Linked DNA regions of Nothobranchius furzeri. The protein of the gene in region 1 interacts with the protein of each later gene in a pairwise test. Links are inferred from orthologs where the notes say so. Each region holds a gene or a part of one and is shown on either strand. Other genes may lie near its edges. The genes, in order: vimentin and crmp1.

What was found.
Region 2: the proteins of vimentin (region 1) and crmp1 interact in binary tests that used the Homo sapiens proteins (3 or more experiments, as listed by UniProt). The link is inferred for Nothobranchius furzeri from reciprocal best matches to the Homo sapiens genes VIM and CRMP1.

What each region holds. Positions count from the first base shown.
Region 1 is NC_091751.1:47,676,778-47,681,165, reverse strand, and holds the start of vimentin, read right to left. Parts: upstream 2,863-4,388; 5' UTR 2,715-2,862; coding exon 2,185-2,714; intron 2,007-2,184; coding exon 1,946-2,006; intron 1-1,945. UniProt on the Homo sapiens protein: Vimentins are class-III intermediate filaments found in various non-epithelial cells, especially mesenchymal cells. Vimentin is attached to the nucleus, endoplasmic reticulum, and mitochondria, either laterally or terminally.
Region 2 is NC_091747.1:78,393,312-78,397,130, reverse strand, and holds part of crmp1 (dihydropyrimidinase-related protein 1), read left to right. Parts: intron 1-78; coding exon 79-263; intron 264-371; coding exon 372-536; intron 537-921; coding exon 922-983; intron 984-1,081; coding exon 1,082-1,162; intron 1,163-2,395; coding exon 2,396-2,464; intron 2,465-2,558; coding exon 2,559-2,679; intron 2,680-2,769; coding exon 2,770-2,926; intron 2,927-3,819.

The DNA.
Region 1 (4,388 bases):
TTAAACTATTCTAAAAAACACATCAATGACTCCATTTTCCAATTTTTTTATTCAGTAAAGGGTCTCATTCAAACCACATAATTAAAAAGGTCCTTAAGCCCATTTATAAGCTAAATTTATGTTTATTGTGAAATTTCCTTCTAGTTTCTCTGAATGAAATTAAAAATTCCAACAGTGATGGAATGTTTAGTCATTATTTCATTCCTCCACTTAATTAAGCACGAAGCTTTTGTTTTGGAAGACAGAACCCATAATGAAACAAACCTGTTGTTGTGCCAGTGCACAGCTTCATCGGGGCGTTGGCAGGCCGTTGATTGAGGTATCAGCAACAGAAGCTGCTTTGCCCATGTGTTAATGCCACAAACAATGTGGACCATTCAGCAGGGGTTCCAAAACATGCCCAAAGGCTGGAAGAGTGACTGTCTGCCTGACTGAGCAGGAGCCGGCTGCTGGCCAAACATTGTTGTCTGTTTGCCACGGAGGCAGACCACTCATGCAATTCCTTCCTGCCATACAACAACCTGATTTAAGCCCAAATCTGCACCGAAAAAACATAAAATCAACAAAATGTGTATTTATGTGTTTAAGTTATTCACCAAAGTGATGTTTTTGACCTATTTGTGTACAGTAACCGCCATATAACTCTATTCACATGACCTATCAACTGGAAAACCAGTGACAGGGAACAGAACCATAACAAGAGAAATTCTTATGTGAACGAGACAGCCGGATCACGCGGTGGCCCGTCTTCTCGCTCTGATAACCACATCAGACCAGTCAGACTCCAATCGAGCAGAGCAAACTTGGCCTTTTGTACCAGCCAGGCCAGGGCACTCTTTAACTGTTCGGAATCATGTCTGGAACCTGCTGTTGTGTCATCAGAGCGGTGCATTCCTGCCTCTGTGGCTCATGAGCCAAAACTAGACAGATTACCTAAAAGAGAAAAGGGATGCACTCCACTGCACAGTTGGAGGTTTGCGTCATCGATTTGGGGATTTTGGGTCAAAGTTATGAGAAGCTGGGGGCAGTTGGTTCACAACTCTGTAGCCAGATTTCTGACAGGGAAGTCGGCACACATCACTCCTGTGCTGGCCTCATTACATTGGCTCCCTGTAGATTTTCGGGCAAAGTTTAAAGTTCTCTGCTATATCTTCTGGTCTTTTTATGGTGATGCTCCACCATATTTGGCAGAACTAATAAAAAGACACCCCATCACAAATTCTACGCTACTGACTGTCCCTGTCATGTTCTGCCCCTGCCTTCCTGACTGTGTCTTTCTCCTGCCCTGATTAGTCCTTATTGTTCTCACCTGTCCCTCATTACTCTGCTCTTCCTGATTTCCCTGTGTATTTATATCTCCCTCCTTGTACCAGTCTTCGTCGGATCATTGTATGTGCATGTGCTCGTTTTGTCCTGTCGCTCCCGTTTACTATTAAATCCATTTTTATTTCATCTGTGCCTGCTCTCCTGCCTCCTGAACTCTCCACCACACATTGTCTGCCATCTCCTCCCTCACATGACAGTCCCAAATACTAGGTACAGATCTAGAGGAGTTCGGGCTTTCTTGGTCTTGGTTCCTTCTTTTGGAATGAGCTTCCATTTGATATTAAACCATCATTACAGGATTTTAAGAGTCATTTGAAGACTAATTTGTATCCTTTGGCTTTTATGTGACTTGGTTTAATGCTTTTATGCTGCTTTTACACTTCATGTTTTAAGTGTATTATATGCTCAGCGTATTGGCCTCCTGCAAAGGCAGTTGCTATATAAATAAAGATTGATTGATTGATTGATTGATTGATTGATTGATTGATTGATTGATTGATTGATTGATTGATTGATTGATTGATTAATTGATTGATTGATTGATTGATTAAAGCTGAGCAATTTTGCAACAAAACAGAAACATTTTTTAGCTAGCTGAAGTCATCATTCTATCTCATACCTGTCTAAAACTTTGCATGTTTGCCTCTGCCTCTTCCCTCTGGGAGATTTCATCCTGCAGCCTGCAGGAGGGGAGAACACAGAGAAAGCTGTTATTTTATATTTAGCATAAGCAGGAGCTTTCTTCCATGCTTCTTCTTTTCAGTTTTGTCTTCTTTGATTTTACTTCTTACTCATCTGAACAGCTGCAGAAATGAATAATAACAATAAGGAAATCATGGCCACATGTGCCACGCCTACTTCTCTCTCAGCCTCTCTATGTCATCCGCCAGATTGTCCCGGTGGACCTCCACCCGGGCCTTCTCGTTGGTGAGCTGGTCCACCTGACGCCGCAGCTCCCGCATCTCGTCCTCGTAGAGATCCCCGACCCGGGACGTGCCTTTGCCCCGCAGCTGCTCCAGCTCCGCCAGCAGGATCTTGTTCTGCTGCTCCAAGAAGCGCACCTTCTCGATGTAGTTGGCGAAGCGGTCGTTGAGCGACTGCATCTGCGCCTTCTCGTTGGTGCGGTTCGTCATGAACTCGCTGTTGATGGCGTCGGACAGGGAGAAGTCCAGGTTCTCGGAGGCCAGCCGTGGCATGGCCGCGCTGCTCCGGAGCCTCTGCGTCTTCATTGCGTAAACGGTGGTCGGAGCGGAGGAGAGCCCGTAGGAGACCCGAGAGGAGCGCAGCGGGCTGGAGAACTGGCGGCTGGAGTAGCTGGTCCGGGCCGTGGCTCGGTCCCCTCCGAACATCTTTTTGTAGGAAGAATGAGGAGCTGGTCTGTAGGACATCTTACTGGGTTCTGTTGAGAGTGTCCACCTCACCTCTGCAGCATCAGCGGTGCCCTAGAAAGGCGTTTCCCTCTCCAGAACTTATTTATAGCCCCCTCCTCCTGCAAAAAGCGCCAAGTAGAACTTGACTGACACCCCCAGACTCCAATCCTAGATCAGAACACACACTTGGCTTTCTGAGGCCAGATGCCTTCTAAGGTGCACAACAAAACTGAGAAAGGTCACAAAGCTCTTTTGGATGGAAAAAAAATCTCCCTTTTTCTCAATTACTTGATATATGAAGTGGTGAGTCTAAGCTTCTAAATAAAATCTATTAAAGTTAACAGGCGTTTTGTGGGTGAGGTTAACATTTCAATACATTTAAATAAAGTTTTGAAAAATACCTTATAAGTGGAAAATAACTCAATAAAGGGACATATTATTACTTTTTAACTTATAGTTATAATAGATCTGTGGTCAATACAAAACAGGTTTATAATGTTCTCTCACAAGGAGTGATTACTATTATTCTTTACATTTTCAGTACCTTCCAGAATGAGCCATTTGAGAGCTCTGTCACTTTAAACCTGCAATAACAAATCTCTAAAACAAACTAGAATTTAAACACAAACATGGTCACGGAGTGCTCACCCCTCCCTTGGCTATCATCCCCAAGCCAAGTCCCTTGATACCAGAACCCACATTGCCACAGTAAACAAGAGACCGCTAAAAATCAGTCGCATTTTCTATATCCAAAAATCTTTTGTTTTCCATTGTAACGTCCAGAAATGGTCAGTTTTTCATCCACAGTTTGACCTCTTCAGTATCCAGTCAGATGGAGACATGAGTCTACATCTAGTGTCTTTAATCTGCTGAATTCTGCTATTTTATCAGCTGAAGTTCAGGCCTCTGCAGCTTTGAACACATGGATAACATATTGTAAACAAAACTGTTCCCGTTTCAAGGCCTTAAGCTTTCTCTTATCGCTTCTACAGGATTCCTCCTGCCTCTGAATAAAAGTGAACACTTTCAGCTCATATGAGTTAATTAATCACATAATGAAATAAACAATGTGGTTAAATGAAATGTTTTGTTTAATCTGTGCTTAGATTAATAAGGATGAAATGAAATATATGACCCATATATTTAATCAACGTACGTGACTTGACAAGCACACACTCATACATATGACTAAAGTAATCTCATGACACATTGCTTTCTGATCCACAAATCAGAGCTACTGTATCTGAGGGAGGTGTGTATCTGAGGTTGGTTGGTAAAACCCCTTTACATGTCAAATTCTGGTTGGCCATGTAATCATAATATGGCAATTGTTAAAACAGAATCACTTGCTGAGTAATTCAATTAGTTTTGAGCCGAACTCCGGACTGGCCACCAGAGGAAAACTCTTTAACCACCGCATCTCTTGACAAGCTGTCACACCTGTTGCACGCTGCAGCTGACACAGCACACGGTTCCTGCAGAACAACGCTGACAGTTCCGACTCCTTAAGAGTCCAACCGTTCTAGACGCAAACGAGTCCCCCTGTTTTTCACGACCCGGAGGCATCCTAGGACTGACTTGGTCGCATCGAAGTTTTCCTACGAGCCATGTGCAGTGGGATCAATGACTCTTTGACATCTCAGATCCAAACAGGGTCTCCAGGAATAGGTACATAGGCACGGCATGAATTGT
Region 2 (3,819 bases), on another chromosome or scaffold:
GCGTATCGTGATTATTATTTATGTCAAGATCAGGCCTCACTTTCAGCTCTTTCTTCTCACTGCATGTTTCCCCACCAGGCAGGTGGGGGAGAACCTGGTTGCTCCAGCTGGTGTCAAGGTGATCGAGGCCAACGGCCGCATGATAATTCCCGGGGGGATCGACGTTAACACATGCCTGATGAAGCCGTATCTCGACACGCAGCCTGTTGACGACTTCCTGCAGGGCACCAAGGCAGCTCTTGCTGGAGGCACCACCATGATCAGTGAGTGAAAACACCTGAAGCATCTGCAGCTCATTCCAGATGCAGCAATCATGCACACCACGGTTCCAAAACGTGGCTGAGTCGTTTCTCTTTTTTTGGACCTTTCAGTTGATCATGTGACCCCTCAGCCAGAGGGCAGCCTGCTGGAGGCGTTTGAGCGCTGGCAGGAGGCTGCAGATAAAAAGGCTTGCTGTGACTACTCTCTTCATGTAGACATCCCCAAGTGGAATGAAACCGTTAAAGATGAGCTGGAAATGCTGGTGCAGGATAAAGGTACGTATCTTTTTGTTTTTAGTGCTGTAACATTTCAGAAATGTGCGTTGGAGACCTATCTAGGGAACACAAGTGAGAGATTTAGACACTTTAGTGCTGAATCCTCTTACAGTCATGACTCAGAGGACATCTATTGTCACCATAATGCTGCTGCGGCAGCAGAGCACAACATTTGCATGTAATCTTTTTTAAAGTAAAGTAAACAAAACGAAGAAAATTACCAGACCAAGCTGCTGCTTGTGAGGCCTTTTTCTGCAGCTGGGCTGGGCTGTGCAACTTGGCTCAAGCGTCAGTGACAGACATGCACTAGACATTACCTTCCATTTAAACTGTCTCAGTGAGTCTTGCCTCTGACGGCACCCTATCATCATTTTCCCATTTTCAGGTGTCAACTCCTTCCAAGTGTTCATGGCCTACAATGACCTTTATCAGATGACAGACTCTGAGGTTGGCACTAGTATAAAAATCTCCCTCACATCACTGTTTTCCCCATGAATCATCCACTCTGTGGTCCTCTAACGCTACATCTTCTTCTACCGTTGCAGCTGTACGCGGCTCTCTCTTTCCTGAAGGAGCTGGGTGCCGTGGTGTTGGTTCACGCTGAAAACGGAGACCTGGTAGCAAAGGTAAGCTTTAAATCTCTCCTCAAGCTGCACAGCAGCTGAGAAATCTTCTCATTACACAACTCGCCATCTCTCAAATAGACCGACTGAAGATTAATGTTGCTGCCGCAGACCCAGAGCACATAACCGTGCACCTGTTTTATTAATGATGATGATGATGTGATGGTGATTAAGATGGAGAATGGTGAGGACAGAGGCAGCGGCGACAACAAGTGTCAGATCTGGTCATGGCAAAGACTGTTGAGATTAAAGGATATTAATATGTCAAAAATATAGATGAGTGTGAGAATAAATCAGGATAATTAATAATGATCTGAACACTGATGACTAATAATGAGTTAGTGGTGAAGTAGGGAGATGGAGATGGAAAAGCCCGGTTATCCAGTGGAGACGGTGCTCACTGGGCAGAAACATGTCACAAGTACAATCTTTCTTGACTGACACAATGTGAGATTTTCTGTTTGCCTTGAACAAATCACACATCTACAGTGGTTCCTAAAGCTGGGGTCAGGACTCATTACCTCGATAATATCGAGGTTATCCGAGGATCTCCAGAGTTTAAAGTAAACCCTGTTCAGCACCACTGTTGTAAAAGCTAAAAAAGAACAAAAAATTAGAGTACTTCCGTTTTTTGTTTGTGTGTGTGTGTGTGTGTGTGTGTGTGTGTGTGTGTGTGTGTGTGTGTGTGTGTGTGTGCGTGCGTGTGTGTGTGTGTGTGTGTGTGTGTGTGTGTGTGTGTGTGTGTGTGTGTGTGTGTGTGCGTGCGTGCGTGTGTGTGTGTGTGTGTCTGCTCTGTCTTCTCGATCCCCAGTGAGTCGTGGAGGATGGCTGCTTATACTGAGCCAGGATTCTCTGGAGGTTTCTTCCTGTTAAAAGGGAGTTTTCCTCTCCACTGTCGCTACATGCTTGCTTAGTATGAGGATTGCTGTATAGTCACTGACACTAGTCAGTGACTTGATGCAATTTGCTGGGTTCCTTATATAGGAAACATTATTTCTGATTGGCTTAATGAACTGACCTGAATTAGAATGTTTATTATGTGAAGTGCCTTGAGATGACTCTTGTCGTGATTTGGCGCTACATAAATAAACTTGAATTGAATTGAATTGAAAATTATAGGGCAGGACTTAGGGTCACATTGTCATTTTGTGGGTCAGAAACTGAAAACCACTGCACTACATCATGCTGTACGATGCTGAAAATGACTGTAGATTAATTCTAAAATGTTTGTTTTAGGAGCAGAGAAAAATCCTCGGAATGGGAATCACAGGCCCTGAAGGGCACCCTCTGAGTCACCCTGAAGAGGTGACTTTAATCACACTCCCCTCTGCAGCTTAATATCATAAAAATACAATTTTATTTTTAATGACCTTCTTGTTTTATTCCTTTTTTCACACAGCTGGAGGCTGAAGCGGTTTTCCGTGCCATCACTCTCGGAAACCGTGTCAACTGTCCTGTCTACATCACGAAGGTGATGAGCAAGAGTGCAGCCGACACCATCGCTCAGGCCCGGAGGAAAGGTGAACCCTGACCTCTTCTTCCACTTAACTTCATCGCTCTTATTTCTCAGTTATTTTCATCAGAATCTGTCCAACTGTCCCTCCACACAGGCTCTGTGGTTTTTGGGGAGCCAATCACAGCTAGCCTGGCCACGGACGGCTCTCACTATTGGAGCAAAAACTGGGCCAAGGCAGCAGCTTATGTGACCTCTCCACCTCTGAGTCCTGATCCCACAACCCTGGATCACCTTCACACGCTGCTGGCCTGGTAACGCTCGAGGTTTCTTCATGTTTCATAACAACGTACAAAAAAACAACTTCTTACACGGTACAGTAGAAGCATTTAAAACATAAATCACATTTTTAGATGAATTCTTTGTGAACACAACCCACAGCGCTTAATTGAACTTTAACCCCAGAACATACATAGTTATGAGGAAATTACCTAAGTGACAGGATAGGAGACACCAGCAGGGATCTGTTTACTTTTATACATACATTATATTCATACCACACACAGCAGCTAGTGTGTAGTGATGTGTCGGTCGTGAACGAACCGCCTCTAAGAGCCGGCTCTTTGAAGTGAACGACGGGAGCCGTCCCCTCCCCTCCCCCCTCCCCCCCTGCCTTGGTGAAAGCTACAGGCGATTGGTCAACATGTGTAACTGCGTGTCCAGACTGTCCACACACAGAGCAGTAGGGGCGGGGAAGAGGGAGGATCAGACTCAGACACACAGCAGAGCACACGTGGGAGGAGGGAGACGAGAGGGAATGAGGAGGAGGAAAAAGGCGAGCGAAAGGGAGGAGAGTGCGACGAAGACGGTGAGAAAATGAGCGCCAGCAGTCGGAAAGTGGAGATTTCTAGCATTATTTTGGTTATAAATGTACTCTACGCAACAGAAAATCTGAGGAGCCACTTGGGAGCCGAAAGAACCGGCTCTCTAAAAAGAGCCGGAATTCCCATCACTACTAGTGTGATGCAGAATAAAAATCTGATCAGTGAAAAGGACAAACGGAGGAAAAGTGAAAGTGGACGTTTGAAGGTAGTTTGACCTCTGCAGCGAAGGACAACACATCTGTTATGACCTCCCCTCCTCAACTCCCGCTGAACGAGGGGCCAGATTTCATGACTTGCACATGTTTAAAGCTCGATTCTGCCGA